5 linked regions of the Macaca mulatta genome follow. The protein of the gene in region 1 interacts with the protein of each later gene in a biochemical or structural test. Links are inferred from orthologs where the notes say so. Each region holds a gene or a part of one and is shown on either strand. Other genes may lie near its edges.

The links.
Region 2: the proteins of HTRA2 (region 1) and LATS1 form a complex in vitro, tested with the Homo sapiens proteins (2 studies listed by BioGRID, with this or other methods). The link is inferred for Macaca mulatta from reciprocal best matches to the Homo sapiens genes HTRA2 and LATS1.
Region 3: of the proteins of HTRA2 (region 1) and MAPK12, one has a biochemical effect on the other in vitro, tested with the Homo sapiens proteins (2 studies listed by BioGRID and IntAct, with this or other methods). The link is inferred for Macaca mulatta from reciprocal best matches to the Homo sapiens genes HTRA2 and MAPK12.
Region 4: the proteins of HTRA2 (region 1) and XIAP form a complex in vitro, tested with the Homo sapiens proteins (10 studies listed by BioGRID and IntAct, with this or other methods). The link is inferred for Macaca mulatta from reciprocal best matches to the Homo sapiens genes HTRA2 and XIAP.
Region 5: of the proteins of HTRA2 (region 1) and CSN2, one has a biochemical effect on the other in vitro, tested with the Homo sapiens proteins (2 studies listed by BioGRID). The link is inferred for Macaca mulatta from reciprocal best matches to the Homo sapiens genes HTRA2 and CSN2.

What each region holds. Positions count from the first base shown.
Region 1 is NC_133418.1:50,271,286-50,277,952, forward strand, and holds the end of HTRA2 (serine protease HTRA2, mitochondrial), read right to left. Parts: intron 6,442-6,667; 5' UTR 6,440-6,441; coding exon of another isoform or gene 6,366-6,439; intron 6,271-6,365; coding exon of another isoform or gene 6,198-6,270; intron 5,937-6,197; coding exon of another isoform or gene 5,192-5,936; intron 5,113-5,191; 5' UTR 5,112-5,112; coding exon of another isoform or gene 4,973-5,111; 5' UTR 4,688-4,972; coding exon 4,182-4,687; intron 4,081-4,181; coding exon 3,876-4,080; intron 3,787-3,875; coding exon 3,592-3,786; intron 3,357-3,591; coding exon 3,324-3,356; coding exon of another isoform or gene 3,099-3,323; coding exon 2,993-3,098; intron 2,864-2,992; coding exon 2,794-2,863; intron 2,105-2,793; coding exon 2,009-2,104; intron 1,904-2,008; coding exon 1,738-1,903; 3' UTR 1,522-1,737; downstream 1-1,521. Other genes in the region: LOXL3 (lysyl oxidase homolog 3), read left to right, coding at 1-190, 289-404, 484-620, 727-838, 1,041-1,114; lipid droplet-regulating VLDL assembly factor AUP1, read left to right, coding at 5,062-5,111, 5,192-5,329, 5,409-5,936, 6,198-6,270, 6,366-6,439.
Region 2 is NC_133409.1:68,186,781-68,192,948, forward strand, and holds part of LATS1 (serine/threonine-protein kinase LATS1), read right to left. Parts: intron 5,110-6,168; coding exon 3,596-5,109; intron 958-3,595; coding exon 375-957; intron 1-374. UniProt on the Homo sapiens protein: Negative regulator of YAP1 in the Hippo signaling pathway that plays a pivotal role in organ size control and tumor suppression by restricting proliferation and promoting apoptosis.
Region 3 is NC_133415.1:1,184,109-1,190,875, reverse strand, and holds the start of MAPK12 (mitogen-activated protein kinase 12), read right to left. Parts: upstream 4,394-6,767; 5' UTR 4,122-4,393; coding exon 3,997-4,121; intron 3,918-3,996; coding exon 3,788-3,917; intron 718-3,787; coding exon 659-717; intron 1-658. UniProt on the Homo sapiens protein: Serine/threonine kinase which acts as an essential component of the MAP kinase signal transduction pathway.
Region 4 is NC_133426.1:130,331,391-130,337,558, reverse strand, and holds part of XIAP (E3 ubiquitin-protein ligase XIAP), read right to left. Parts: intron 2,220-6,168; coding exon 2,019-2,219; intron 1-2,018.
Region 5 is NC_133410.1:63,894,673-63,900,158, reverse strand, and holds part of CSN2 (beta-casein), read right to left. Parts: intron 4,861-5,486; 5' UTR 4,849-4,860; coding exon 4,798-4,848; intron 4,086-4,797; coding exon 4,059-4,085; intron 3,954-4,058; coding exon 3,927-3,953; intron 2,933-3,926; coding exon 2,912-2,932; intron 2,821-2,911; coding exon 2,776-2,820; intron 1,669-2,775; coding exon 1,138-1,668; intron 577-1,137; coding exon 571-576; 3' UTR 535-570; intron 1-534. UniProt on the Homo sapiens protein: Important role in determination of the surface properties of the casein micelles.

The sequences.
Region 1 (6,667 bases):
AAGACCGGCCCCTGCATATGTTGTACTGTGCTGCGGAAGAGAACTGCCTGGCCAGCTCAGCCCGCTCAGCCAACTGGCCCTATGGTCACCGACGTCTACTCCGATTCTCCTCCCAGATCCACAACCTGGGACGAGCTGACTTCAGGCCCAAGGCTGGGCGCCACTCCTGGGTGTGGCACGAGTGCCATGGGTGAGAGGGTAGGGAGTCAAGTAGAAAGGCAAGGCCACGGGGATGGGGCAAACCTTCTGGGGGAAGAGAAGGAAACAGAAGTTCCCTTCTCCCCACAGGCATTACCACAGCATGGACATCTTCACTCACTATGATATCCTCACCCCAAATGGCACCAAGGTAGCTGAGGGCCACAAAGCTAGTTTTTGTCTCGAAGACACTGAGTGTCAGGAGGGTGAGTTGGGGCCTGAAGTGGACCACATGGTATCCATCGCACAGCCTTTCCTTACACTGACATATGCCAATCCCTCCAGATGTCTCCAAGAGATATGAGTGTGCCAACTTTGGAGAGCAAGGCATCACCGTGGGTTGCTGGGATCTCTACCGGCATGACATTGACTGTCAGTGGATTGATATCACAGATGTGAAGCCAGGAAACTACATTCTCCAGGTACCTGGAGTCTGGGGCTTCCAGATGGGTGACTGGGGGGAGCGTTAAAGACACCTTTGAATTTGAGGATTGTTGCTGGGTTAAGTGGCCTTTTTCTCACTCACAGATTGTCATCAACCCAAATTTTGAAGTAGCAGAGAGTGACTTTACCAACAATGCAATGAAATGTAACTGCAAATATGATGGACATCGAATCTGGGTGCACAACTGCCACATTGGTATTTGATGGGAAGAGCAACCCAGGAAGATTAGGGGATGGGAGGGAAAGACGTTCATTCTCTTTTCTGTAACTTGTTTCTGCATCTTCCCACCCTCCTCTGGAGCTCTCAGTCCCTCCACTTGTACCCATCTTTCTCCACAGTGGGTCTGTCTTCCTCCCTCTGTGCAGGGCGCCTCCCAAATTGCCTGTCCACTCTGCAGGTGATGCCTTCAGTGAAGAGGCCAACAGGAGGTTTGAACGCTACCCTGGCCAGACCAGCAACCAGATTATCTAAGTGCCATCGCCCTCTGCAAACCACCACTGGCCCCTAATGGCAGGGGTCTGAGGCTGCCATTACCTCAGGAGCTTACCAAGAAACCCATGTCAGCAACCGCACTCATCAGACCATGTACTATGGATGTGGAACTGTCAAGCAGAAGTTCTCACCCTCCTTCAGAGGCCAGCTGTCAGTACCTGTAGCCAAGCATGGGAATCTTTTCTCCCAGGCCCAGCACCGAGCAGAACAGAGCAGAGCCCACCACACCACAAAGAGCAGCACCTGACTAACTGCCCACAACAAAAGATGGCAGCAGCTCATTTTCTTTAATAGGAGGTCAGGATGGTCAGCTCCAGTATCTCCCCTAACCTTAGGGGGATACAGCTTTACCTCTAGCCTTTTGGTGGGGGAAAAGATCCAGCCCTCCCACCTCATTTTTGACTATAATATGTTGCTAGGTATAATTTTATTTTATATAAAAAGTGTTTCTGTGATTCTTTAGAGCCCTGGAATCAGTGCTGGTGGTTGGAGGGACCTGCCCCCACTGGTTCATTTAACCCTCTGTCCCGGCGCCCTCAGAGCCTCAGCCAGGAAGGCAAGGAGGAAATCAGAGCAGGAGCCTCATACTCTTGGTGATCTATTCATTCTGTGACCTCAGGGGTCACATATAAGGTCAGTGTTTCTCGTCCCCGCCGGATCTGCACTGCCAGCTGGGATTGGGTTCGAACAGCTTCATAAACATCTTCAGCATTTTGTACCATCTGCCCCCCAATGGCCAAAATCACATCACCAGGCCGCAGACCAGCCCTACAGAGAAAAATGGACAGAGAGAAAAGAAGGAGTACAAAGCCTAGTTCAAGGACACATGCACACCTCACCCATCCCCATATCACACTGCAGCCTCTCCCTCACCGGTGTGCAGGGGAGCCCAGGATGACTTTATGGATGAGTACACCATGCTGAACATCAGGAAAGCTTGGTTCTCGAAGCTGTAGTTCAGCAAGGATGCTGAAAGTACACAGATCACCCTATTAGCCAAACCCAGGCATTCTCCCCATCCTGAGTTCCACCTCAAGTCTCTCATCAACACATTGGCAAATAGATGGACAGGACATGCGCTAGGTACTACAAAATACAACGGCAACTCACTTTCTGTCTTCTAGCAATAAAGTGCAACATGTACATAAAAGATGTACACCACATGAGGGCACCAAATGACAAACAGTATGAAATCAATAGCACTAATGTCATTCTAGAGTACTAAAAGAAGCTTTAAGGGGAAAAAACTTAAGCTGAGCCTAAAAGGATGGGTCCAATATTAACCATATAAAACAAGAACAGCATAAATAAAAAACATGGGAGTAGGAAATCAGGTTGGCTGAGTATTCATATAGGAAGGTATTACAGCCAGGTCTAGAAAGTTGATTTACAGACAGATGGAAAATGCCCTTAAATGCCAAGTTAATGGATTGAAGGCTTGAAATCAAAGCAGTAACAGGATGAAATCAGTCTGACAGGTGTAGAAAGTGGAGTGGAATAAGAAAGTCAAGATGATGAAGGGAGACAGCTCTTGTGATTATTTCAAGTGTGACACAGTTCATTTTAGATAAAGACAGAAATGAGAACAAAGCTCAATAGAGGTGCCCACCTCTGATTACACTGGTCACATTACATGTCACTATCCCTAAAGCTCATACCTGGGACTCAGGGTCAGCATCATCACCCCAATGTAGCGCCGCTGGGACCCACTGATTCCAGAGGAGGAATCTGTGACAGAGGGACAAATAAGCCCCACCCAGCTACATCCTTCCTTCCCTGCCCTCTTCTCCCAATAGACCACCCTCCAGGAAGTCCCAATGAATGCCCCTCCCGTATTTCCCCATAAGCCAGGCTCACTCTTCTTTTCCCCACGATGCAGAAACTCTCGAAGGCGATCAGAAGGGATGGCAAAGGAGATTCCAGCTGTGACCTTCATGGTGTTCACTCCAATCACCTCTCCATCCTGCAGGGATACATCCCCCAGTTCCCTAGCCCAAACAAATAGTAGGGGATGGGGGCACCCGAACAAAAGTAGCAGCAAGTGTTGGGGAGATCCAGTTGGATGTTGAGAGATAGCCAACAAAGAACTGCTCAGAAACTTGACCAAACATCCTTGAATTAGGGAAAACCTACCCTTCCCACACAGACCTGGGGCTGGGATTCTTGGAAGGAAGGATGTCTCACTCACCAGGTTAACCAGGGGACCTCCAGAGTTCCCAAACTGCAGGACAAGGAGAAAACATGAAAGAGATCTGAGGATTCTAAGTCTGGGGGCATACCAGGATGTAGGTACTTTCTCCAAATTCTCTTCTTTCTCAGCCCATGAATGAGTGGCCACATTTTTGCAGCCTAAGCTCTGTATATAGGCTCATCCACCATATATCAGTTGGTGCTTGTACCACACAGCCTCTCCCCACTCCCCCATCATGTGTCATTTCTCTCCTATCAGGACGCACATCAATAGCTGCATCCGTCTGAATGTATTCCACATTGGTTTGGGGGAGTCCCAGGTCTCTGGCTGGACGCTGAGCAGAGCTAACAATGCCGGATGTGATCGTGTTCTGCAGTGCAAAGGGACTTCCCATGGCAACAACAAACTCCCCTTGCCGGACATCAGCTGAGCGTCCCAGAGGCAGCGTGGGGAGAGGCTCCTAAGGGAGAATGGGTATAAGAGACCTGTCATCTGGAGATGCGAACAAACAAGCAGCTCCAACTAGACCTGGCCTACCCCAGCCCCCACCTTAGTCTGAATCCTCAGCGTTGCGATGTCTGCCACGGGATCCACAGCTGTGACCACGGCCTCATACGTGTCGCCGCTAAGCAGTCTCACACGGACTCTGCGCCGATCAGCCACCACATGGGCGTTGGTGACAATGAGCCCATCGGCAGCCACCACGAATCCTGAGCCGTTCGAGATAGGGACTTCACGGCCCAAGAAAGGGTGCCTGGAATGGAGGGAAAGCACGGATAAGAGGAGGCCCTGACCCCTCCTACCCGCCCGCCCTCCGGCCCGTGGCTTCAGTGCCTCCCGGTCTACCCCCATTACCGGTCCAGGATCTCGATATAGACCACGGCAGGTGCTGTCTTCTCCACCACATCTGCGATGAAGTTGTACTGACTCCGGGGAGAAGCGGGCGGCGGGCCAGGGACGGCGGCGAGGACGGCCGGAGGACCCCGACCCCCGCCCCACAACAACAACAGCACTGCCCCCCCAGCGCCCAGTGCCACAGCCAGCCACGCGCGCGAACGGGTTCCAGAGTTCTCTGAGGCCTCCCGGGTCCTGGTATCTGGGGTCACCGCAGTCAGTTGTGCCCGGGGACCCGGGGTCCCAGACGTCAGACATGCTCGGGGTTCAGGGACCCCAACACACAACCGGGCCCAGAGACTGGGGGTCCCATAAGTCACTCGGGCCCGGGGGTCAGAAGTTCCTGACGTCAGCAGGGCCCGGAGGTCAGGGGTCAACCGGGGTCTCCTCCCCCAGCGAATGCCCCCCAAAGCCCGCCATGCCCGAAGGCTCCAGCCTGCACCCCGCCCCGCCCTCGGCGCAGCCATCAGCTCCGCCTCGGCTGCCTCCTCGCCCGCCCTACTCAGAGGCGGCACCCAGGACGCGAGCAGGCGGACAGTAGGACGCGGGGCACGCCGGTACCTGAAGTCCTCCAGAAGTGCACGTCGGGACCAGGATTCCGGGAGGCCGACTCCTCCCCGTCCCGCGAATGCCGGGAATTGTGGTCTCCGTGGGACGCGAGTTGTGAGACGGCCCAAGGGGCCGCAGGGTATGCTGGGACCGCTAGCCCTTCCGGCGCGCCTCAAGACTTCGGGTCCTGTCACCCCGGGCGGATGCCCAAAGACTCCGCCTTCCCAGGAGCCCCTGCGGCCGGGCGCGAAGATGGCGGCGGCGACGGCTGGGCGCTCCTGAAGCAGCAGTTATGGAGCTTCCCTCAGGGCCGGGGCCGGAGCGGCTCTTTGACTCGCACCGGTAAGAGACCCGGCGGGAAGAGACCTACCCCTGCGTCCTCTCGGCCTTCGGCGCCCGACCACTTCGCCTCTCGCCCCCAGGCTCCCGGGTGACTGCTTCCTGCTGCTCGCGCTGCTGCTCTACGCGCCGGTCGGGTTCTGCCTCCTCGTCCTGCGCCTCTTTCTCGGGATTCACGTCTTCCTGGTCAGCTGCGCGCTGCCAGACAGCGTCCTTCGCAGGTTCTGACGCGGGCGTTTGGGGAGTGTCAAAGCTGGGCCTGGCCCGAGGCCACACAGTCACCACCGCCTGTGTCCCCAGGTTCGTAGTGCGGACCATGTGTGCGGTGCTGGGGCTCGTGGCCCGGCAGGAGGACTCCGGACTCCGGGATCACAGTGTCAGGGTCCTCATTTCCAACCACGTGACACCTTTCGACCACAACATAGTCAATTTGCTCACCACCTGTAGCACCGTGAGTGAGAGCGAGGCCGAGAGCGCCACGGGGCGGTTCCCTGGGGCCCAGCTGAAGGCCCCCCTGTCCCACTCGCGTTCCCCATGGAGGATACTGAGCCTTACCCCTAACCCCGATCCTCTACCCCACATGTCATTTTTTTTCATTTTCCTCAATTTTTTTCTTCTTGCTTTCTCTTCTCCTGGTTCCCAGCCTCTACTTAATAGTCCCCCCAGCTTTGTGTGCTGGTCTCGGGGCTTCATGGAGATGGATGGGCGGGGGGAGTTGGTGGAGTCACTCAAGAGATTCTGTGCTTCCACGAGGCTTCCCCCCACTCCTCTGCTGCTATTCCCTGAGGAAGAGGCCACCAATGGCCGGGAGGGGCTCCTGCGCTTCAGGTGGGTTTAGCACAGGTATCGGGTGCCAACTGGGTAGGTGGTCAAGCTTGTGGGCCCTTGAGTTTTTACAACCTTCTTCGGCCCTTAGCCCCCAACATCTCTAGTTCATTTCCTTTCTGTCCACTTTTAGTTCTTTCTCCTGAATGCCTTCTTTCTTCAATTGTGTGCTTGTAGAGTTTGACAGTTGCCTGTTTTAAGGCACCTATGATCTGCTGACTAGCCTGGCTGGATTCCCATCCTACTTTCTCCTTCCTCTTCTAGTTCCTGGCCATTTTCTATCCAAGATGTGGTACAGCCTCTTACCCTGCAAGTTCAGAGACCCCTGGTCTCTGTGGTGAGTGTGTGTTGAACAAGGAATCTCTGGGGCTTGGAAGGGAAGTTTCCCATCCCTGGCCCTGGCTTAGGCCTCACTTCATGCCCTCCCCTCAGACGGTGTCAGACGCCTCCTGGGTCTCAGAACTGCTGTGGTCACTTTTCGTCCCTTTCACGGTGTATCAAGTAAGGTATTATTAACTGCCCTCACATTTTGGTCGCTGGGGAGAGGCTCACCTCAAGGTCAAGGAATTAGTGGCCTCTGCCCTGTCCATTTGTAGATCTTTATATCAGAGTTCTACCACAGAAGCAACACAAAGTATTTACAGTATTTACTATTTTCCCACCCTCACCATGCAAAGAGTTACCAAAGCGGGGAATGGTGACAGCCTCTACCCTGGGTGCCCACAACATAGCCC
Region 2 (6,168 bases), on another chromosome or scaffold:
GAACCCAGGAGGGGGAGGTTGCAGTGAGCTGAGATCACGCCACTGTACTCCAGCCTGTGTGACAGAGCAATACACCATCAAAAAAAAAAAAAAAAAGTTATTTGTCTGACATATTTACAAATAAAATGTAAAAGGTGTGACTCAAAAAATGTTAATGATATTTTTTGATAATGATAGAAATAATCAAGTCTAGCACATTCTTTCATTTTATAAGTCTAAGTGCCTAAAGGATTCACCCAAGTTTATCCAACAAAATTAAGAGCTGACCCACATCTTCTGGCTCTCATCCAGTGATGATATCATCTTATATTTTACTACATCAATAAATTACATTAGTATGAACAAACTAAAATAAATTTGACGAGTTTACTTACCACTCTGATAGTACTTAGAATCGTGTGTCCATCTGAAGCCAGTGCAGAGGCCAAAGTCAGTCAATTTAATATGACCATCACGATCAATCAAAATATTATCAGGTTTAATATCTCTATGAATAAAACCCATTTTATGAACACTTTCAACTGCACAGGTAAGTTCTGCTATGTAGAATCGTGCCAGATTTTCTGGAAAGATGCCCATTCTAATTAATAGGCTCATCATATCACCCCCAGGAATGTAGTCCATTACAAAGTATAAATTGTCCTTATCTTGGAATGAATAATACAGACGAACTACCCATTCATTGTCAGCTTCAGCCAGGATATCTCTCTCAGCTTTAACATGAGCAACTTGATTTCGAAGAAGAACATCTTTCTTTCGGAGAGTTTTTGTTGCATACAAAGCCTTAGTATCTACTTTTCTTGCTAGGCAGACTTCACCAAATGCTCCTATTCCTAGTGTCTTTATCTTCACAAACATAGACTTGTCCATTTTAGCCCTTTTAAGACGGATGTAATTAGATTCTTTTTGGCAAAGCATCTTTCTCATTTGATCCTGGGCATCTTGAGATAATCCAACCTAGGCAAATAAACTAGATGTTAAATAAGAATTATCTTCTTCAATATTGAATATTAAGAAATAGCTTGGAAAAATTTCAGGCATATATTTAAAGGTTAAATACATAATTTTAATAAAGCATGTTAGAAATCTAGAAAACATTTCAAAGGAAATTAATGATCAAAAGTGCAGCCTAAGGGGTAGTTAAAAGGATATTCAAAGTGAATACATATGCAAATTCAGCTGTGGAGCGCAAGAAGAGGGTACCAGATGAGTAAGCTTTCTACTCTTCTCTAATGCACTCCAAAAAAAAAAAAGGTTCTCAATGTGCAACAAACACCTGTTAACATGCATCTTCATTTATCTCTCTGTTACATGCTTCTCTTGGTGGAATGCCTAGGCCTCAAATATTCTTCCTCCTATTTTGTCTTTCATGAAAAAAAAAAATTCTTCCACTCCAGGTTCATTTATTCTAAAAAATTAATGTACCAAAGAACAACAAAACAATGCCTTTTCTAACCCACCAATCCTTTCCCCATTCTCAATAAATACACAATAGTCATTAATAATCTTTCCTTTTCTCTTTTTCAGGGCATTAGAGTAAAGGTGCGACTCACGGCCCACCACTAACACAAATTGCAAAGGGTTTCTCCTACTTCGAAAAGAACCACCTGGTTGTTCACAAGATATCCTTTGGATATTTAGGAATACTTCAAAGAATAGTCAGTGTGACTCATGAACAGATCAAAAAATAGATTAAAAACAAAAACTAACTTCTAAGTATTATAGATATGGAATGCCTGGATTTAGAAGGGAGAAACATTTTTGGCTAATGAATAAAGAATTAATTAAAGGGTTTAAATGAAAAGAAATTCAATTGGAAAAGTGGGGTCTAATTCTAGAAATACAAGACTAAAATAGAGCAACCACATGCTTCTGTTAGGATTCGTATTTGCATGCAAAATCTTTTAAGGGTGGCATGCCAGACTTAGTTCAGAACTGTTTCTCTTAAAATCTTACTTGCCTACACAGTAATGGAGACTACAGAAGTCAGCAAAGCTTCCAACACCATAAAAGTTTAAATCAGCTATTAGTGAAAGTGAAGAGGAAAAAGGAAAAATAAACTAAGAAAATACACATAGACAGACTTTAGTAAGAAATCCTAAGAACTAAAATATGAATAAGTCATAGAAATTATTATGGTATTTCTCATTTAATAAAATATAAAATGGAAACAACAATACTGTAAAATCAGATATGGAAAAATCATTTTAAAAGAATAGTTCTCTCAAGTATATATATAAAGGAGTTTAATCACAAGGTTAAGCCTCTTGGATTGTGAGTGACAGATGTAAGATTAGGAGTCAAATATTTGAACTGTAAGCATATGATAAAAACAATAATAGACGGGTGCAGTGGCTCACGCCTGTAATCCCAGCACTTTGGGAGGCAGACGCGGGTGGGTCATGGGGTCAAGAGGTCAAGACCAGCCTGGCCAACACGGTGAAACCCCGCTTCTACTAAAAATAAAAAATTAGATCGGTGTGGTGACGGGTGCCTGTAGTCCCAGCTACTGGGGAGGCTGAGGAAGGAGAACTGCTTGAACCTGGGAGGTGGAAGTTGCAGTGAGCCGAGATGGTGCCACTGCACTCCAGCCTGGCAACAGAGCAAGACTCCGTCTCAAAAAAAAAAAAAAGATGATGATCGCACTACCTTAATATCTAGTGAAGAGATCTATGTGAAATGACAATACATATTAAAGTGTGTTTACTTATTCTGATCTCCCTTTTAGTGCAGTTTGACTAAATAATTTCAGCACATTTTTCTCTAGTATATTATAAAAATGAAATGAGAAGGGAGAAATAACTGAAGGGAATTTCTTTTACACTTTCTAATAAGAACTATGTGATGAATAAACCCATAAACTCCAAATTTTCTACAAGTAAAAGGAATTGTTTCGTAAGTATATCAGGAGATGAGACCCACATATTTCTTTCTTTTTTTTTTTTGAGACGGAGTCTCGCTCTGTCGCCCAGGCTGGAGTGCAGTGGCGCGATCTCGGCTCACTGCAACTGCCACCTCCCAGGTTCACAACATTCTCCTGACTCAGCCTCCCAAGTAGTTGGGACTACAGGCGCCTGCCACCGCGCCCGGCTGATTTTTTTTTTGTACTTTTAGTAGAGACGGGGTTTCACCGTATTAGGCAGGATGGTCTTAATCTCCTGACCTCATGATCTGTCTGCCTCGGCCTTCCAAAGTGCTGGGATTACAGGTGTGAGCCACCGTGCCCGGCTTGAGACCCACAAATTTCTAATTTATGTTTAAATGTTGTAAGATAATGTATAAAACCTAGAAAACAACCTTTCCTCCAATTTTCATATAAAGGTATTATGTACACCTAAACTGTACACTGCAAATTATATTTTTCTTAATTTACACAAGATTTTATTAGAGGAAATTCTGAGTAAATCTTGAAATACTAAAAAAAAAAAAATGCTACAATCAAAAGTACTTTAAATTTATTCACTTTTAAATTCTGTAACTGATAATATATTGTAGTTAGCTATAAAAAAAGAAAAATACTGGAGCACAATATTTTAAAATAAACACCAAGCAAATAGATTTTAAGTATAAAAATGGACATTTTAAAAGGTTTTACCCGCATCATTTCATTCTCTAATTGTTTTTTACGATGTAGACGCTGCTGATGAGATTTGAGTACATTTTCTACATGTTGCTCCATAAAGAATTTAAATGCTTGAGGAGAATAACTTTGAATACGAGATTCCCTTCGCTCTTCATCTTTCTTGGTTTTCCTAACAGTAATGGGTGAAGTTGTAATCTGTTTCTTTTCTTTATCCCCACTATCAACATTTTCATAACTCTTTTCACTCTCATCTTCCTTGGGCAAGCTTGGCTGATCCTCTTTGCTAGGCTTACTGATTGATTCATATGGAGGAACAGATGGGTTTTGGTGCAGCAGATGTTTTGGGTAGGGTGGTGGTGGTCCTTGATAGTTTGGAGCTTCAGCAACAGGTGGCATCACAGTCACATTTGAAGCGGTTCCCTCAGGAAAAGGACTGGGTTGAACAGTTTGAATTGGCTGTGGTATCCAAGAAGGGTGTGTAGGTGCTAAAGCAGTCTGTAGCTCTGGTTTTAATACACGCATGCTTTTCACAGGCTGTTGAATAGGAGCTGGTGTAATTGCAGTGACTGTTGTAGCGGAAGGCTGAGAATTAGCAGAGTGACTTGCTCTATTTCCTAATGGGTTATTAAAAGAATTTGACCTCACTGGTATGTTAGGTTGCCATGTAGAGATTTCATGCCCACTGCTCGGGGATGACTGGGCTGGAGCAGAAGATGACTGAGGCCAATTTGTTTGCAGTCCAGGTACATTAATGTTATACAGTTCCATGTTATGACTATTTCTGTTTGGCACCATCATAGACTGAGGAATATTTCCATTTGTATATGACGAAGGAGCAGCAGATCCCCCTGTTTGTAAAGCAGAAGGGCTTTGTCCATTAGTTGCGGTCAGAGGATATGGTGGTGGTGGCTGCCGATTCACAGTGCCAGCAGGGACAACATTTTGGTGTATCATGAAATCAGTTTGTCCAGTACCATTCTGCATTCCAGGTCTCCCTGATGGAAAGTTAAATTTGCTAGAACTCTGCATGATGATTGGTTGTCTGCCAACAGGAACAGAACTAATGCCTCTCTGTCCCTGATTAGAAGGATTCATGGGGGAAGTATTGAGAGGTGGTGGAGGATAGCCCTCTTGCCATGCCCCAGGTGGGACAGGAGAGATTCGGGAGATTACGTATTCCATGTTTCCAGAATAGCGTTTTGTTTGAGAGTTTGGTTCCCATGAAGGGGGAGGTGGAGTTGTACCTCTTGGAGGGGGAGTCTGGCCTCTTGGAGGTGGTGGAGGAGTAACACTCCTTACTTGAGGTGGAGGTGGGGGGTTCACTCTCTGTCCGTTGCTGGGGTGAGCTTGAGCAAATGCTGTTATACCAGATCCAGACAAAGGTCTTCCTACATCTGTCTGTGAGTTGGGACTCTCAGAATGATAGGCCACACTTTCTCCTAGTGGTGGGCCATGCCTCTGAGGAACTAAGGATTCTTTAGAACCTTTCCAGCTCTGTTTGCGGTTAACTGATTGTTGCACATTCCCTATGGGTATAAGAGAGATAAAGAGGAAAAAGAATCATGTTTTCAACCTCTTATTTTTGAAAAGCTTGCAATTCTGATACTACAAATGATACTCAATTCTCTTTCAAGAATTATAAAAATATAAAAAAGTTCAAGTGATCTCTTGTACAAAATGGTGACTATAGTTAATAATGTATTGTACTCCTGAAAACTGCTAAGAGAGTAGATTTTAAGTGTTCTCACTACAAAAAAACGATATGTGAGGTAATAATACATGTTATTTAGCTCAATTTAGCAGAAAAAGAAAAAAGAAGAGTTATAAAAATAAAATTTCAGTAAGTGGTTTCCTTTCACCTTTTAAAATTTTATTTATTTTTGACCGGGCGTGGTGGCTCACACCTGTAATCCTAGCACTTTGGGAGGCTGAGGTGGGTGGATTGCTTGAGCCCAGGAGTTTCAGACCAGCCTGGGCAACATGGTGAAGTCCCATCTCTACTGAAAACACAAAAATGAGCCAGGTGTGGTGGCACGTGCCCGTAGTCCCAGCTACTAGGGAGGCTGAGGTTGGAGGACTGCTTGAACCGGGGAGGCAGAGGTTGCAGTGAGCCAAGATAATGCCACTGTACTCCAGCCTGGGAGATAGAGCGAGACCTTGTATCAAAAAAAAAAAAAAAAGTATTCTTGACTGATGGCTCAAAATTCACAAAGTACAATATCATACTTCTGTTCTTTAGCCGACCGATCTTTAATAAGGTACTTCAGGGATATACATATACAAGTTAGTACTGTACATCCTATATGTACTACTACGCCTAGCTTTTTTCATTAAACAAAATGAAGATTCTGTATCAGTATAGAAAGTATTTCCTCACTTTAAAAAATGTTACCATTGTTTTTCACCTTATGGATATACCCTAATTTATTTAATCAGTTCCTTCACTGATAGACATTTAGGTTATTCCCAGTCTTTTGCTTTATACATTAAAAAAAATGCAGCAATGAAAAATTTTGAACAGGCCAGGTGTTGTGGCTCACGCCTATAATCCCAGCACTTTGGGAGACTGAGGTAGGTGGATCACT
Region 3 (6,767 bases), on another chromosome or scaffold:
CCTCGGAACTTTGTGCCAGAGATGAGGGAGGTGCCTGGGGGCGATGGGGGCAAGGCAAGGCATCTGGGTCAGAGGGGCTGGCTGAGCCGGTGGAGACGGACACAGGAGAATGGTATTTAGCACCTCCCCAGAGGCCACTGAGGCCAGCGTGGGTCCTTGACCTCTGCAAGTCAGGCGGGAGACATCTGCTACCCTCTCCAGGCCTTCCTCAGCCTGGCCCTTCACTCTTGGCCGACAAGGTGTGAGTCCCGGGGTGGTCGGCTGCAGGGCAAGGGCAGGGTGGGTCCTCCCTACCGCTTCTCCCCCACCTGCTGGGAAAGGTCAGCAGCTCCAGTTACCGGCCACACACTTGGTGCCAGGGTCCCGAGCACGGGACCTTCCTGTTAACTAATGGTCAGGTCCAAGGTTCACACCTCCGGTGCCGGAGAGCCCAGGTGCCAGGCGTGAAGGGAGGCAGCAGCCCCAGCTCTGCCCAGCTGTGGGTCCCAGGACCATGTGGGGGAGGGTGTGGGGCAGAGTAGTATGGGGGGGGTTGGCAGTGTGCATCCCCCACTCAGGCTACAGGAAGAGAACCCCATGCCAACCTGGAACCTGAAGCCAGTGCCCAGAGCTGCCCACCACCCCTTGTGCCCAGCAGCCAGCCCAGGTCGGCACTCACAAGTCTGTGAAGTCATCCAGGGTCTCATCAGGAGTGAACACATCCAGCAGCCCAATCACCTGGGGGGCCAGGTAGGGTTGAGAGTGCAGCGGAGGACACGGGCTGGGGCCCCCCCCAAGAGTGGCACAGCCCTCTGGGCAGGAAACCCCCTCTGCAGCTGTCGTCATGCCCCACTGTCCAAAGGGCCTGGCTCTGCCCACTGGCAGCGTGGCCCAGCCCTGGCACACATACCCACAGACAGGTTATTTTTGGATGGTGACAGCCGGGATCTTCTGGGGGAAGGGCAACCCGGAGTCTGGGCTGGCTCTGAACCATCCAAAGGGCTCCTACCACTTGCCCCTTTCTCCCCTCTTCTCCCCAACCAAGCAGACTGACACCCAGGGAAGGGATAGTGCTATGAGGAGAGGCCAGGCCTCTGCTGGTGAGGCCCAGGTGGACAGCACCATGACCCGCCAGACCTGGTCCCCACAGCACCCCTGGTTGGGGAGATGGACAGTGGACAGGTCATGTGATAACTGCTGCCTCAGCATTTTGGGGTGACAGGGTCCCAGGGAGGCCCGGAGAAGTTCTGCACAGCCAAGGATGGAGGGGCAGGTAGACATGTGGGCTGCGGGACACCCGGCAGAGGGCACATGCAGAGTGGCCAAGGCAAGAGGGAGAACACTTGGGAGAGTTTGAGGAACACAGGGAGGGAGGCCAGGTGGCCAAGGCCCAGGCCAGGGAGGGGCTGAGGAGAGGCCAGAGGGAGCCGGCAGGGCAGCACACACCAGGTGAAAGTTTGGCTTTGATCCCAAGAGACAGGGAAGGATTTAAATGGGTGTGATGCTAAACGCGTCCTGCTGGCCGTGGTGTAGGGACTGGCCAGAGTGAAGCAAGAATGGACCTAAACTGGAAGGACAGCTCTGCCAGAGCCATGGGCAAGAATGTGGAGGGAGGAGGAGAAGGAACAGAGGCCCGTCCAGGGAGGCCTGGGAACAGTGGGGTCTGTGGACACGACAGCTGGAGGGTGCCCAGGAGAGCGCTTTGGCAGAAGATGGAAAGCAGGGTCCTGTGGGCTAGGGGCCATAGGACTTGGCTTGGCCTCTGTGGTGTGGGGGCTGGCCTGGAGAGGGAGGTGGCATGGGGATGGCAGGACTGGGGCCTGTGGCAGAGCCTCCTCCCCCGCTGAGCAAGGCATGTGGCCTCACAGAGCTTCAGTCTTCCAGGAAGATGGGGTTCCAGGGAAGGAGCCTCAGCTGCAGGCCGGGAGCCCAGGGGGTGGACCCCCAGGCACAGCGGGGACCCCAGGACAGCAGGGCGGTGGCTAAAGAAAAGCCCAGCGCGGTGGGTCACGGCTGCACTCCCAGCAATTTGGGAGGCGAAGGCAGGCGGATCACGAGGTCAGGAGTTCAAGACCAGCCTGGCCAACATAGTGAAACTCTGTCTCTACTAAAAATACAAAAAGTTAGCCGGGTGTGGTGGTGGGTGCCTAGAGTCACAGCTACTAGAGAGGCTGAGGCAGGAGAATTGTGTGAACCCAGGAGGTGGAGGTCACAGATCGCGCCATTGCACTCCAGCCTGGGCGACAGAGGGAGACCCCATCTCAAAAAAGAGAAGCCCCAGTGGACGGGCGCGGTGGTTCAGGCCTGTAATCTCAGCACTTTGGGAGGCCGAGGCAGGCGGATCACTCGAGGTCAGGGGTTTGAGACCAGTCTGCCCAAAATAATGAAACACCGTCTCTACTAAAAATACAAAGCATTAGCCAGGCATGGTGGCATGGACCTGTAATCCCAGCTACTCAGGAGGCTGAGGCAGGAGAATCACTTGAACCCAGGAGGCAAAGGTTGTGGTGAGCCGAGATCATGCCATTGCACTCCAGCCTGGGCAACAAGAGCGAAACTCCATCTCAAAAGAAAAAAAAAAAGAAGAAAGAAAAGCCCCAGAGCACTTGGCTGGATGGGGCAAGGCCCAAGCAGGTGAGTGAGTGGGTGGGTGGGGGCAGGGGGCCGAGGGGAAGGCTACAGTCCTGGGGCAAGGTCTCGGTGTGACGGGCGGGATGGGGGAGTGCAGTGGTGGCAAGGTGGGGGCAGGGCCGGGTGTGACGGGGGTGTCGAGGTGGGGGCAAGGTTGGTGTCCACCGCAAACAGATTTCACAGGGCCCGGGGTGGTGAGCTGGGGTCAGGGTGGGCTATGGGAAGCCTCAGAGAAAAGGACCCACCCAAGGGGCTGAGAGAGTGGCGGTGGCCAGGAACCAGGGGGCGGGTGGTTTGCTGGTGGACGCAGGGACTCATTCTCCCAGGGCACCGGTGGCTCGGATGACCCAGGAGGGTCCAGAGCATCTCACACTGGAGCTAGGGTCCGGGCGCCCAGGCCACCTGCCTTCAGGCTGGGCCCAGACCAGGGGCAGGGCAGGAGTGACATGGGGGGCAGTGGACAAGTGGGACTGTGTCCAGAAACCAGAGGGCCCCTGGCAGAGAAGTCCGGCTCTTCGCAGCCAGCCACTCCGTGGGAGAGGCCCAGGGCAGCTGTGCATGGCATCTCACAGGCAGGACTGGAAAGGATGGGCCCCCACAACGAAAGGGAGGGTGTCTGTGAGATGACCACCACGCCCAGTGCCCCCCAAACAGCAGCTCCCTGAACCCTTCACTCACCCCCAGGGTTCACCATACTCCCTACGTTCTGGCGCCCCCCTCCTCCCCCTCCACCGGGTCGGAAGACTCGGGAGATGGACAGCAACAAAGTGGGCTCCACAGAGGGGCTGGAGAGGGGCCCGGATGGGAAAGAGAAGGTGCCCCTTCCAGGAAAATCCTCCTGCCGGGAGCATCCTCTCACCGCGGGCTTCCTGGCTGGGGGCAGGGTTTGGCGTGAGACCTGGAGGATCCCCTGGGCCTGGCCAAGTCGTGTCCCCTGACCAGGGCCTGGCTGAGACGCCAAGTCAAGGGGCTCTTTCCCGGGCCTGGCAGAGGAGGGGGAATGGCCCTTGGGGGAGTCGTCTCCTTGCTCTCCTTCTCCCCTGGGGGCCCACGGCCCGACCCCCGCCCCGCCCCACAGCAGGTTGCCTGGGGAAGGGGTTGCCGGGTGGAGGGACCCAGCCCAGCCGAACCCAGCCGAGGCCGGGGCGCCTTCCCGGAGCGGGGTCGCGCGACTCACGTTCTCGTGGCGCATGTGCTTGAGCAGGCGCAGCTCGCGGTAGGCGCGCTTGGCGAACAGCTCCGACTGGAAGGGCCGGTACAGCTTCTTGATGGCCACCTTAGCGCCGGTGCGGCTGTCCACGGCCGAGCTGCGGGGCGGACCGCTTAGCGGGAAGGCCGGGCACCCCGCGCAGGCCCCGCCCGCCCCGCCGGCCGCCCCGCGCTCACCACACCGCGCCATAGGCGCCCGAGCCCACGGGCTGCAGGTCCCGGTACACGGCGCGCACCTCCCAGGCCGTCTTAGTCACCTCCTGGCGGTAAAAGCCACTGCGGGCAGGCGGCGGAGAGCTCATGGCAGGCCCGGGAGCCGCCCACCCCGCAGAGCCCGCGGGCGGTGCCCCAGGACCGGGGACCTGGGATCGGCGGGGCTTCCTCGGCGTGCGCCCCGGGCCGACTCCGCGCTGCTCGCCCGCCCGCCGCTGGGACGCTCCTGTTCCCGGCCCTTCCCTCGGGGATGTCCCAGGTGCCGACCCTGGCCCGACCCCGACCCAGGCAGCGCACGGCCCCTCCCCCGCCCGGGGACCAACCGGCCCGCGGGCGGCGCGCACGTGACGCCCTCGCCCGCCCTCCGGCCCCTCCGGAAACCCGAGGCGGCCGCCGCCGGGGGAGGGCCGGAGCCTGGGGGGAAGCGCAGGGGGAGGGGAGCGCCGCCCCGCAGCTTTGTTCCGACCTAGGGCCGGACGCGGCGCGGAGATACCCCTGTCAGCCTCTCCCCTTTGGCTGAACTGCCCCGCTCTGGGGGTGGAGCCGGGGGAGTGGGGAGCTCCTGCTGAGACCCTGGGCTCCAGTCCTGACTGCCCATGGTTCCAGGGCGCAGGGCCCATCCTTGACAGCCTGAGCGCTGACTTCTATCGGCAGTCCCAAGTTGGGCTGAGCCCTGTGTACCTAGAGTCAACTTCCCACGCCACCCCCAAGGATGCCCTACCTCTGCGCCTGATCCATCCATCCCCGAATGGGGGGTCCATCTGCACCTGTCTTGCCTGTATCCCTCTTTCTACACGGAGGGGTCTGTCTCCCAAAATCCTCAGGCTGCATCCCCAACCCCACCCCTGTGGCCACTGACCCCGGGCCTCTCAGTCCCATAGGTCCCCGAGGGCCCTTTTGGACACCCAACTCCTCCCCCTGCTCCCCCCATCTGCGGGGTGACTGCTGCAAGTGTTGCAAGTGCTGGTGCCCCTGCCCGTCCCATCCCTGCCTGTCCTGTCCTGCAAAACCCAGGCTGAGGGTGGCTGCACTGTCTCCAGCAGGGATGGGGACCTGCTGGGGCCCTCAGCCTGACCCCTCTGTGTGGGCATTATCCTCCCATATGTCTGGCCCCATCCTAGACCAGATGCTCTGGTGGGCGAAGCCCCACCCTGACACCCCCACCGCAGTCCAGAAACCTGGGTCTGAGGAGGGATGTGGGTGCACCCCGGGAGCCCACTGGGCTGGTGGGTAACAGGATCGCTAGGGCCCTCTGCCCCGCCCTCCGGCCATGAATCAGCAGCTCAGCCGCTCAAGGGCGGGAGGAGCTTTACACCTGGGCTTTGGGCTGTGTTCCGTGGCATTCATCAGCTCGTGCCCAGTGAGCAGGGGCAGCCCGGGGCTGCCCAAACCACAGCTGCCTGTGGCCTGCACCCTTTGTGCCCTGGGCTGCCTGTGGCACTCCATCTACCTCTTTCAGGAAGCCCAGCTGCCACTGCTGTCCCCCTTAACTCCCCGTGGTGGAGCTCAGGGGTCCAGAAGGCCCCGCACAGACCAGGCTTCTGAGGGGGGGCTGTGTCCCCATTCTGCTCCCACCCCCAACCGCCAACACTGGACTTCCCCCAGGACTGACCACTACACTGATGAGGCCCCAGGAGGGCCCCCAACTCCCAGACAGTTTCCACCCCTACCCAAGACCCAAGCAAGGGCACAGACTGTCCCTGGCCCCTAGAGACACTGCCTGACCCCAAATGGTCTGGCCCCTCCCCCACACGTAAGCTGCAGAGCATAGTGGGAACGGGACCAGCACACACATTCTCTGGGTTAAAGTGGCCTCTTTTTCCTTCACCAGGAAGGAAAGGAAAGCTATTTTCCCTAGCCCACCCAGCCCCCACCCAGGGATGGGCAGACCCTTGCTCCCTTGACACCCAACTCCCCCCCAGCCAGCTTCCCTGACCACTGAGGGGTAGGGAGGTGGTGTCTGGATCTTGGCCCAAAGCCAAGCCTGCCCAGTACATCCCCACAGGGCAGCTGGGGTCACCATCTGGGTGGCCGTCCCACCCTGTGCCCTCAGAGCCCACCCATCAGCCGTGTCCTCCCCTGGTCCCCCTGGGCTCAGACCCTCCAGGGAGCAGGGAGGGTGCCAGAAGATGGCCACTGGTCTGACTGGGGGCCTGAGGGATCTGGCCAGCTAGAGGTGAGTGATGCAGAGTGACCCAGACACTCCCCCCATGCCCAGCAGTGGGGATGGCGGGGGCAGCAGGGCCTGGAGTGGCCTTTGGATATGAACCGAGCGAGATAACCCCCTTTATTGTGCACCCCTGGTGCAGGCACTTGACACCCAGGCTTCCCTGGGCCCCTCGAGGCAAGAGGTCACCCCCTTTCCAGGGCAGAGCCATACCCCCAACTCAGCTCTGGGCAGGGTCCCGTCTCCGAGGTTACTGGATCAGCTCCATCCTGGGACAAGGAAAGAGGAATGACACGCAGACCAGAGCACCTCAGATCTCCGGCTGCAGGGCCACAACGGTGGGCAGAGGTAGAGAGCGGGCCAGGGTGCGGCGCACAAGTGTTCGAGTCCAAGTCCACACCCGCGTGTGCTGCCTGCCTTAGCGTCCTCAAGGCCAAACCACCCAGTCACCCCCAGCCTCAGGAGCCTGCTGCGGGTCACATATCCGAGGAGAAAGCCCGTGCTGGCGCTCATGTGGCTGCCCTTTCGCCCACTGGAGCCCCCAGTCTGAAACACCCCTCACAGCATC
Region 4 (6,168 bases), on another chromosome or scaffold:
GCTTTTGGGAAGACAAACAGGCAGCGGTCCCAGCATGAGTAGAGAGCCTGTATCAATTACTTGCCTCTCAATTTAGTGAGACTGAGGAGAGTTCAAATGAATTCCAACCCTTAGGCTCTCCTTCCCACACCATCCTAGTTTGTAGTCTCAGTGATAATACGAGCGCCCACTGACTCCTGTTAGAGAAAAGACACTCTCCCTAATGCACAGTCCCTTGATCTCTTCCTATTACAACCTGCTAAATCTTTCTGCTGCAGACACATTAAGGTTTGAAAGCTAATAACTTATGGCCAAACTTAATTAAGTGCGTGTTTAAGATGCAGGAAAAAAATGACACAATTGCTTGTATTTCTGTTATAGTAGAAAAATTCTAGTCTGGCCAACTGGGAGAAACCCTGCCTCTAATAAAGATACAAAAAATTAGCCGGGCGTGGTGGCGCATGCCTGTAATTCCAGCTACTCGGAAGGGTGAGGCAGGAGAATTGCTTGAGCCGGGGAGGCAGAGGTTGCAGTGAGCTGAGATCGTGCCACTGCACTCCAGCCTGGGCGACAGAGTGAGACTCCGTCTTAAAAAAAATAAAGAAAGAAAGATGACCAAGTAAAGGGTTTATTTTACCACCACCAAGATAAGTGGAGCCTGTGTAAGTTTTAAATAAATGCATCTATAAGGGAAAAACTGGAAGCTTTCCATTGATTCTTACATCAATGAATATAATTTTAAATATCATTAATGTTCATACTGTTTCATAACTTAAGTAATTATCTGAATAATGTTTCAAAAGCACTTGAAATATCTTAAAGATCACAAGGATTTTAAATGTGTCAAAAATAAGTAAATGTTTAAGTTTATTAGCAGTAGGAGAATTCTCATCTTTTTGGAGGGAGGATAGTCAAGAGCTTAGAGAACTATTACAGGTATAGTACCCAAAAGTGTACTCAGTTTGAAACCTCTTCTTTTTTTTTTTTTTTTTTTTGAGACGGAGTCTCGCTCTGTCGCCCAGGCTGGAGTGCAGTGGCCAGATCTCAGCTCACTGCAAGCTCCGCCTCCCGGGTTCCCGCCATTCTCCTGCCTCAGCCTCCCGAGTAGCTGGGACCACAGGTGCCGCCACCTCGCCCGGCTAATTTTTTGTGTTTTTAGTAGAGACGGGGTTTCACCGTGTTAGCCAGGATGGTCTCGATCTCCTGACCTTGTGATCCGCCCGTCTCGGCCTCCCAAAGTGCTGGGATTACAGGCTTGAGCCACCGCGCCCGGCCGTGAAACCTCTTCTTTAACCTTCGATGTTGTTGGCAAGCACTATAGTGTCCATCATCCTTAAAGGAGATATATATATATTTTGAGACAAGATCTCGCTCAGCTGCCCAGGCTGAAGTGCAGTGGCATGATCATGGCTCACTGCAGCCTTGATCTCCCTGGCTCAGGTGATCTTCCCCGCTCAGCTTCCCAGGTAGCTGGGACTACTGGCACACACCACCATGCCCGGCTAATTTTTGTATTTTTTGTAGAGACAGTTTCATTATGTTGCCCAGGCTGGTAGAATTCATATTTTTAATCTTTTTTCCATGATTAATGTAATGATATTTGGAAATGAGGCCTTTGGGAACTAATTAAGTTTGGATGAGGTCATGAAGATGTGACCCCCATGATGGGATTAGTGTCCCTAAAAGTAGAGGAAAAGAGACCAGAGTACTTGCTCCATCTTGTCCCATCCACCCCCAACCCATGCCATGTGAGGACACAGTGAGAAGGCAGCCATCTGCAAGGCAGGAAGAGGGCCCTCATCAATAACGAAATCGGCCAGCACCTTGATTTTGGAGCCTCCGAAACTGTCAGAAATAAGTCTGTTGTTTAAGACACCTAGTCAATGGAATTTTATTATAGCAGCTTGAGCAGACTAACACACAGCATTAAGGTTATGTTTAAAAAATGTCCATATCCCCAGCCTCCCAAAGTGCTGGGATTACAGGTGTGAGCCACCACATCCGGCCCTTTCTTGCTTTTTAAAAACAGCAATGCATACCTTTCTGTAATGAAGTCTGACTTGACTCATCTTGCGTACTGTCTTTCTGAGCATTCACTAGATCTGCAACCAGAACCTCAAGTGATTTATAGTTGCTCCCAGATATCTGAATTTTTTCCTCCATTATTTTCTTAATGTCCTTGAAACTGAACCCCATTCGTATAGCTTCTTGTACCATAGGATTTTGGAAGATGGTATCATCTGAAATAAAAATTGGTGAGGAAAAAGAACATAGAATTTAAACAATTATTTTCATTATCACAACTCAATAGCAAAATATAGTTAAAATGAAAAAATTCAGCAGCAAGCAAAAGAACAAAAACAAACCAGCAAAGCAAAGCTGCTTTGGGAAGATTTTTTGAAGTATTCAGGCACTGAAAAATCACTTTCAGAATCTTACAATTAATTGTAAATGCAATGAGTATGTATTTTGTAGTGTTTGAGACGATGCAAGGTAAAACAGGCAAGAAAAAGGTTAAGTGCTTCAAAAATCTGAACTTTTTAAAATCTAGCTGTACTCTTTAACAATTAACCTAAGGTACTTAAAGAGTGGATGTTGTTACTGAGTCACTAGCAATTATTTGGGGAAAATGATGGGAAATTAGGGAAATCCCAGTCTATAACCTTGAACATGTCAATTTCCTAGCTCTCAAACTTCATTTCTGTAGTAGAGCGGGTAGGACTGGATAAAGCAAGAAAGTCAATGGAAACCTGTTTTTATGATACTCAAAGTAGGAACACAGCATGTGTAGGGAAGTGCTAAGAGAGGACACTTATACCCTCTGACTCATCAATTCCACTCTTGGGTATTAAAAATGAGTGTATATCTCTGCCAAAGATATGCACAGGAATATTCATAGCAGTGTTATTTATAATAGCCCCAAACTGGAAACAACTCAAATGTCCATCATCAGGTGAATAGATTGTGTGGTATATTCATAAGCTACACAGCAAGAAAAAAAACTATTGCCACAGACAATATGGATGAATCTCATAGATATAACGAGCAAACCAGAATCATAATTCATCATTATGACACAAGAGTACCTACTGCATGAGTCCATTTATAAGAACTTCAAAACTAATCTATGGTAATAAACAAAATTAATCTATGGTAACAGAAGCCAGAATGTAACTTGGGGGTGCGTACTGATGGGGAAGGAGCATGAAAGAGCTTTCTAGGGTTGTGGAAATGTTCTATGTCTTAATCTGGGGGATAGTTACACAGATAAATATATATATTTTAACAGACACATTTTAATATATATTTAACACATATTTTATTTAATATATATTTTAACATACATACGTTAAAATTCATCAAGTAGAAAACTTATGATTAGGGTACTTGAAGCACTTTACTGTATGTGTGTGTGTATATATATACATACATACATATATATATATATATATATATATTTTTTTTTTTTTTTTTTTTTTTTGAGACAGAGTCTCACTCTGTCACTCAGGCCAGAGTGTAATGGTGTGATCTCGGTTCACTGCAACCTCTGCCTCCCAGGTTCAAGCAATTCTCCTGCCTCAGCCTCTGGAGTAGCTGGGATTACAGACATGTACCACCACACCCGGCTTTTTGTATTTTTAGTAGAGACGGGGTTTCACTATATTGGCCAAGCTGGTCTCAAATTCCTGACCTTGTGATCTACCCTCCTCGACCTCCCAAAGTGCTGGAATTACAGGCGTGAGCCACCACACCTGGCTACTATATGTATATTATAGCTCAATAAATGTTTTTTTGAAAGAGAGGAGGCCGGGTGCAGTGGCTCATACCTGTAATCCCAGCACTTTGGGGAGGCCAAGACAGGGGGATTCTTTGAGGTCTGCTGTTTGAAACCACCCTGGTCAACAAAGTGTGACCCTGTCTCTATTAAAAAATAAAAATAAAACATAAGGCTGGGCATGGTGGCTCACATCTGTAGTCCCAGCATTTCAGGAGGCTAAGATAGGCAGATAGCTTGAGCCTAGGAGTTCAAAACCCTGTCTCTGTAAAAAATATAAAAATCAGCTGGGTGTGGCAGCACACGCCTGCGGTCCCAGCTACTCTGCAGGCTAAGACTGGAAGATACTGTGAGCCTGGGAGGCGAAGGCTGCAGTGAGCCAAGACTGCACCATGGCACTCCAGCCTTGGCGACAGAGCGAGATGCTATCTAAATAAATAAATAAGTAAATAAATAGAGGAGGCTGGAAAGGAAGAGATATAGAGATTCTAGTATAAAGAACATATATAGTAAATAACAAAATATATTTTTACGGTAGGAAAGTAACTTAAGATGTGTGTTTTGATAAAAAAAAAAAAAAAACTCTTGCTGGGCGCGGTGGCTCACGCCTGTAATCCCAGCACTTTGGGAGGCCGAGACGGGCGGATCACAAGGTCAGGAGATCGAGACCATCCTGGCTAACACGGTGAAACCCCGTCTCTACTAAAAATACAAAAAATTAGCTGGGCGTGGTAGCGGGCGCCTGTAGTCCCAGCTACTCGGGAGGCTGAGGCAGGAGAATGGTGTGAGCCCAGGAGGCGGAGCTTGCAGTGAGCCAAGATCGCGCCACTGCACTCCAGCCTGGGTGACAGACCAAAGACTCCGTCTCAAAACAAACAAACAAACAAAAAAAAACACAACTCTGGGCCAGGCATGGTGGCTCACACTTGTAATCCCAGCACTTTGGGAGGCTGAGGCGGGCGGTTCACAAGGTCAGGAGATCGAGACCATCCTAACACAGTGAAACCCCGTCTCTACTAAAAATACAAAAAAAAATTAGCCAAGCATAGTGATGGGCGCCTGTAGTCCCGGCTACTCGGAAGGCTGAGGCAGGAGAATGGCGTGAACCTGGGAGGCAGAGGTTGCAGTGAGCCGAGATCATGCCACTGCACTGTAGCCTGGGCGATCGAGCAAGACTCCGTCTAAAAAAAAAAAAAAAAAAGAAAAAAAAAGAAAACCTCTGTTGGGAGGTTATAATATAGAAAAAAGACCAGTTAGGAGACTACTACAATTGTCCAGATGAAAAACAAGGAAGGGCCTGAACTAGAGCAGAGTAAGTGGGAAAGTCTGAAGCAACATTAAAAAGGTGGAATCCATCAAATTTGATGATTAATTAAATGTAAAAGGATTACAGAGAGCAAAGAGCTTAGGAACACATAAATTACTGGGCAACCTTGTGAACTGTGGTACTATTAACCAATACAGGAGAAAAAAATGCAGGATTGGATTCAGTCTGAGTGGTTTTTAGAGATGCATTCTAGGTAGAAATGTCCAGAGGGCAACTATACATTGCTCTTTCTTGCTTCTATCTTTGACTTGTTTTTATTTTCAGTTTGTTTTGTTGCTCCTTTACTTGTGCCCATCTAATGAGATGTTGGTGGTTCCCTTCGAATCCCTCATCGACCCTTCTTAAAAATGGTCTTTCCAGCCAGGTGCAGTGGCTCACGCCTATAATCCCAGCACCTTGGGAGGCCGAGGTGGGTGGATCACCTGAGGTCAGGAGTTCAAGATCAGCCTGGCCAACATGGCAAAAAAAAACCCTGTCTCTACTAAAAATACAAAAATTAGCTGGGTGCAGTAGCATGTGCCTGTAGTCCCAGCTGCTCGGGAGGCTGATGCAGGAGAATCCCTTGAACCCGGGAAGCGGAGGTTGCAGTGAGCCAAGATTGCGCCACTGCACTCCAGCCTGGGTGATAGAGCGAGACTCTGCCTCAAAAGAAAAAAAAAAAAAGGTCTTTCCAGACACTTCCCCTACCAGCACCATCTTACTCTCATTTATACAGGTTTTATTATCCTCCTACTTCAATGTCCTGCAGGTATCTCAAACTCAACTTGCTAAAAACAAAAAGGAAGGACATGGACCCCTACCTCATACCATATACAAAAATTAACTCAAAATGGATCAAAGACCAGAATGTAAGATATAACACCATAAAACTCTTAGAAGAAAACATAGGTATAAACCTTGGTGACCCTGGATTAGGCAATGGTTTTTTAAATATGACATTAACAGCATGAGCAACACACACAAAAAAACAGATAAATTGGATTTCATAAAAATTAAAAACGTTTGGCCGGGCACAGCAGCTCACACCTGTAATCCCAGCACTTTGGAAGGCTGAGGCAGGTGGATCACCTGAGGTCAGGAGTTCGAG
Region 5 (5,486 bases), on another chromosome or scaffold:
ACTTGAAATTGCTTCGGTGAAATGTCTAGTCTTTCATAATCACAAAAGGCTTTACATCTTAGAATTGCAATACTATTCTCTCCTCTTTTTAACGTTTACATTTGGAGTAATTTGAACTCATGAATTAAAAGATAATTTTAAGTAAAGTAAATACAAATTTTATGAAGGGTAGGTTGGAAATAAAAATGCAAACAGGCTTTTGACAAAGGCTCAAATGTATTTCCATAAAAGTAAAATAAAAAAGATATTCTGTTTTTCCTAAAAATAGTGATAATCAAAGGTAAGTATATGGGCCCTTGAAAGCAAGTCAGTCAAATCTGTCAATAGTACATAAATAAAATTAAAGTTATTTGAAATGCAAAAGATAGATAGTTTCAGGTCAGTAAATGATAGTCAACCATTGAGTTGATAATTAATAAAAAAAAGTTCTTATATGTATGAAATTTTCACTATATTGGTCTTCTCTAGAATTAAATGTGGAAAGACATCATGTATAAAAATGATCAATTTTATCTCCAAACTCCCAAAACTTACCAAAAATGAGAAGGGAAAATTAATTTTGAAATCCTCTTAGACCTTAAAAATAAACAAATACAAATAAATAAATAATTAATTAGCCTCTTAGTAGGAAAACTTGCCTTAAGAATGTCATAAGTAGTGAAATAAGCATCTCAATCTTTTGCCTTCATATATACTTACAGCAAAAACAAGATGTGAACTAAGGCTTGTGTAAAATAGATGTGCACAAGGAAAATGATGGAACATTTTTTAGCTCTTTTATTCCAAATTCAAGCATACTATTAAATTTAATTCTGGCTTTTGTAAGCTTTAATTACTTTATCTAAATCAGAATTCTCAACAGACTAATTAAATCAGAATTCATGCAATAGCTTTTTTCTCAGCACTCAGTTTCCTCTACACAAAGAACGAGAATAATTATATTAGAATCTCTGGGTAGGCATAGGCATTGGGATTTGTGGGGAAAAGTTCTCCAGATGATTCTATTGTATAGGTAAGCATTAAGAATCACTTATCTAAACTGCTTTATTATTTTCATTTACTCTACATTTATTCTTTTATTCTACCATCCCATACACATTTTGAATGAAACAGCAAAGTCAGTAAATTTGTACTTACCCTAATGGGGTTATGAACTGGGGCAAGTGGCTGAGTCACAGGGTAGATCTGGCGGGTGGGATCAAGTAGAAGTTCTTGGCTGAGCAGAAGGGCTTGAACAGGCACAGCTCTCTGAGGGTAGGGCACCACTTGCTGGGGGATAGGCAGGACTTTGGGCTGAGGAACAGACCACAGGGGCTGAGGGGGAAGCGCAAGAGTCTGAGGAATAGGCTGAGGGACCTGGTGCATCAAGGGCTGGAGCAGAGGCAGAGGAAGATGCAGATTTTCAAGATCAGGGAGTTTTGGGATTTGAGGCTCAAAAAAGGGCATCATTGGAGATTTATGGATGGGCATCACTCTGCCTTTAGTGTAAATAGTGTCTTTAGCTTTAGGGACTTCCATTATTTCAGGCTGAGGGACAGGCAGCACCACAGCAGGCTGAGCAAGAGGCAGAATGTTTTGTGGAAGAAAACCATAGGGGATAGGCTCAACGAATGGATAGATCAGAGGCTGTGGCTGGAAAGAGGGGTCGATTTTATCCTGGCGTTCATCCTGGAAAGAAGGAAAAAGAATCTTTGAGTCCTTGATTCAGCTATAATTGCCATTCATAATGAATTCATTTCTCTCTTTTAGGCAATGATAAATGAGTAGAAAGAGAGGAAGAAAATATTTCACTTATTTTGTTAAGAAATTATCTTGAGTTATGTGAGGAAAAATGAGTAAAATGTTTGTTGAAAGATTTTAATCCACTCACTTCATGGGTAACTACACAGGCCAAAGTGAAATCAATGTTTGGATATTTCAGAAACATTCTTTTAACCTTTTCCTGAATTGCCTGTATAGCTGTAACTGTACACTTTGGTCTTCAGAGAGAATTTACTTTTCAACACAGTTGTGCCAATAATAGACCAAATTGTTTTCACACAGTGAAAAGAGGTCAGTTTAAAAAGACTTAGAGGGACAATTCCAAGGTTCATTTTTGTTTTGTTTTGGTTTGATGAAAAAGAAAATCAGTCTTAATTTGTGGCTTATCTCAGGAAGTGATTTAACACCAGCCAAATTCTTGCATTCCTTCCCTTGGGAGAAGATAGTCTCTTGAGTCTTTCAAGAGACATTGATTTTTTTGTTTAAAATTGATTTTAAAAATATTTTATGTGATACCAAACAATTCATTGATACACAAAGCAACTGAAAATTGTGATTAGGTAAACATATCACCATAAATGTAATTTAATGAAATACAGGATTTTGTGTTGTCCATACGGGAATGAAGGCAGTATGGCACAAATTCTACATAGTTTATTTTTTACCAGCTGTATACTCCTTTTCATTACCATATCCACCTTGAAAATAAGAGGATCATAGTTCCCAACCTGGAAATGTTCCCACCAATGTGCGCTTGTTGAAAACAGATATACCATTAGTAATATCATTATGTATTTAGTCTATATTCCAGAAATTAATTATGAGTTTAAAAATGCATGCATATCCTAGAAAATATATTGACTTTATCAATGTTTAATTTTTTTACAGTGGTTCGTGGGTATATGGCATTTATTTTATTACCATTCTTTAGAATCAACATATACATTATAAATATTTTTGTATGTATTATACTTTATGATAATTTTAGAAATATACTTATCGTTAACAAATTACCTCTCTTTGCTGCTGGTCCTCATGTTTAACCTTCTCAACTGTCTGCTAAAAATAAATCATATATAAAAATATGTTACCATCTGTAAAAATTAGAGGAAATTTTGAAAATATGTACATTTTAAATGTGAAAATTTACCTTGTATTGTGTAATAGATTCCTATGGAAAAATATAAAATAAAATTAGATTTAGTTTTAACAATTCTTACTTTGCAATATAAATCAGGAAATAAAGGCATTAATTGTTTGATAATATCATTAATAACTTTGTATAATCATTAAAGCTTATATATTAAATTGTTCTATATAAGCTTGTTGTATAAAAGAAAGTCAGATGAATGCAGTCAAGAAGGACATGGCACAAAAAAAGCAATTAATAGATGCTAATTTCTCTCTACCACCATGCTCATCCCCTGACAACAAATGATCTCTAAAACCCCATTTGGTTTTTTAAAAAAGGCAATACTCTTTGAAAATATGTTCTAATAACAATTGATACATTATGATCACTTCAAATGAATCAGAAGAGTTAAACATTTCCCTTAAGGATCATACAACCTTCCTGAAGAAACAGAGTCTATTGAGGTACCATTTACTTATCAAGTGATCACACACCCAAGAAGAGAGATGTAAGAATAAATATCTACCTGACTCTCTCAGGTAGATTTAGGACTACACTAAATCTCACTTATTTGCTAAAGTGGCAATTGTAATTATAAAATGTGACCTTTTTCATATCTGCTTACCTACTGCTTAGCAAGCTCTTAACTATCACTCGCATCTCTATCTTTTCAGTTTGTACCACAGCTCCTAGTCGATGTCTGACCCATAGAAGACCCTCAATATATGCTCAAAGTGAATGAGTTCAGAGTAAAGAGAGTTCAAGGCAGAAAACAGGACTGTATGGTTCATTAAAAAAGAAAAAAAAAAAGAGGAAGCAACATAACACAATTTCAAGTAGCAAGCCAATTTAGAAAGTTCCAGAATGTTGTATTTTCCAGATACTTATTGTCCTTAAACATATATAAAGGAAATGTATACTAGAACTTATATGTCATTGACATAGTGGCATTAGCTTAACTGCCATGATATAACACCATAGAAAAATAGCACAGGATTTTACTCTTCTAAAATTGGGCAGAATGTTAACTTACCTCACTGCTTGAAAGATTTTCTACAGTCTGTGGAAAAAAAAAAAAAATGACAACCAGCTACATCTTCTAGATCATTAGAGAATTTTACTATTTTATGGTTCATAAATTTTCTCTAAACAAAAAAAATCTTACCTCAAAGGATGCACTGGATTGTTCCTTCTGAAAAGATGTTTAAAAATTCAGTTTCTACAGCTAACACATTGTTAAACATGTATCCTACTTAATTTTTACATCATTTATGCAGATCTATCTCTTTCACAAATGTGACAAATTAAAAATGTTATATGACTTTTGAGGCTTGAAAGGTAATTGCTTTAATGTCTTTTACATTTAGTAATTTTTATTAATATACTTTTATCTTACATTTATTAAAGACAGTTTTTGATGGTTGAGTCACTTTAATTTGTATTAAATATTTTTACTATATTATTATGAATGTATGATTAGGATTATGATTGTGTCTGTACTTCATCCTATGGATGCCTTTGTATAGACAGACTTGGACCCAGTGCCCTAGGCTATAAGATATATATACATTTTATGACTGGAATAAGATATGTTTATCTAGGTTGAGCATCTGTGGAGTTATTTATGCATGTATTTGTTGCCATTTTTATGATTTTTTATTACTTATTGATTTGTTTGCTTTTTCTTTAGTGACTAGCAGCACATTGGTGTCGGAAGCATTTGGAGCACTATAGGAAACTGTTGAGACAGTGGGTAAATATAAATGATTTTGATAGAAGTCAAGATAATTTTCATGAAATTCTTCTTTATTATAAAGTAAAAAATGTTGGTGATGTTATTCTCTACAAATAGGCATATAGTCCACTATTTCTTGATTTTTATGAATTTTTTCTTGTGCACATACCTCCCTTGCAAGAGCAAGAGCCACCAGGCAGGCAAGAATGATGACCTTCATGGCTACTAAGTCCTGTGAATGGAGAAAAAATGGAATAGTGATAGATTGGTCAATTGGATATATTTTCTTATTTAGTTAGGTAAGGTTACTTTTTATAAAAAAGAGAGACAATGTATGACAAAAATGTCTACATTTTAGAAAATAAATAGAATAAATACTAAATAGAAGTTATATCATATGACTCAGGTCAAAATCTATTCTGGCTTGCTATTCTCATTTATCAAATTCCAAACTTCATTGCCAACTATTCAGATATTTCAGCTAACAACTCATCCCCACTTTTAAAAACGTCCCATTTGCAGTATTGAATTTTTCAAAAGGCATAAAGAAGTTATAAATATATATGGAAAGATTTATTCATTAATTTAAAAATATTTCCTTAGAATCTGTTCTTGCCAGACACTGTCTAGGGACCAGGACTGCAGCAATGAGCAAAATATTACAGTCCTGATATTACTCCCTGATGGAGCCTCAGTTCTACTGGAAGAGACTAATCAAGAAAATGTGTACAAAAAAGTCACATTTTATTTTTATCTTTTTTTTTCACTAAACGGTTACCATGAATATTTTAGTTTAATTATTTCTCCTCATTTCCAATAAGACTGAGATTTTCATTTTAACACTTTCCTTATTTGTGT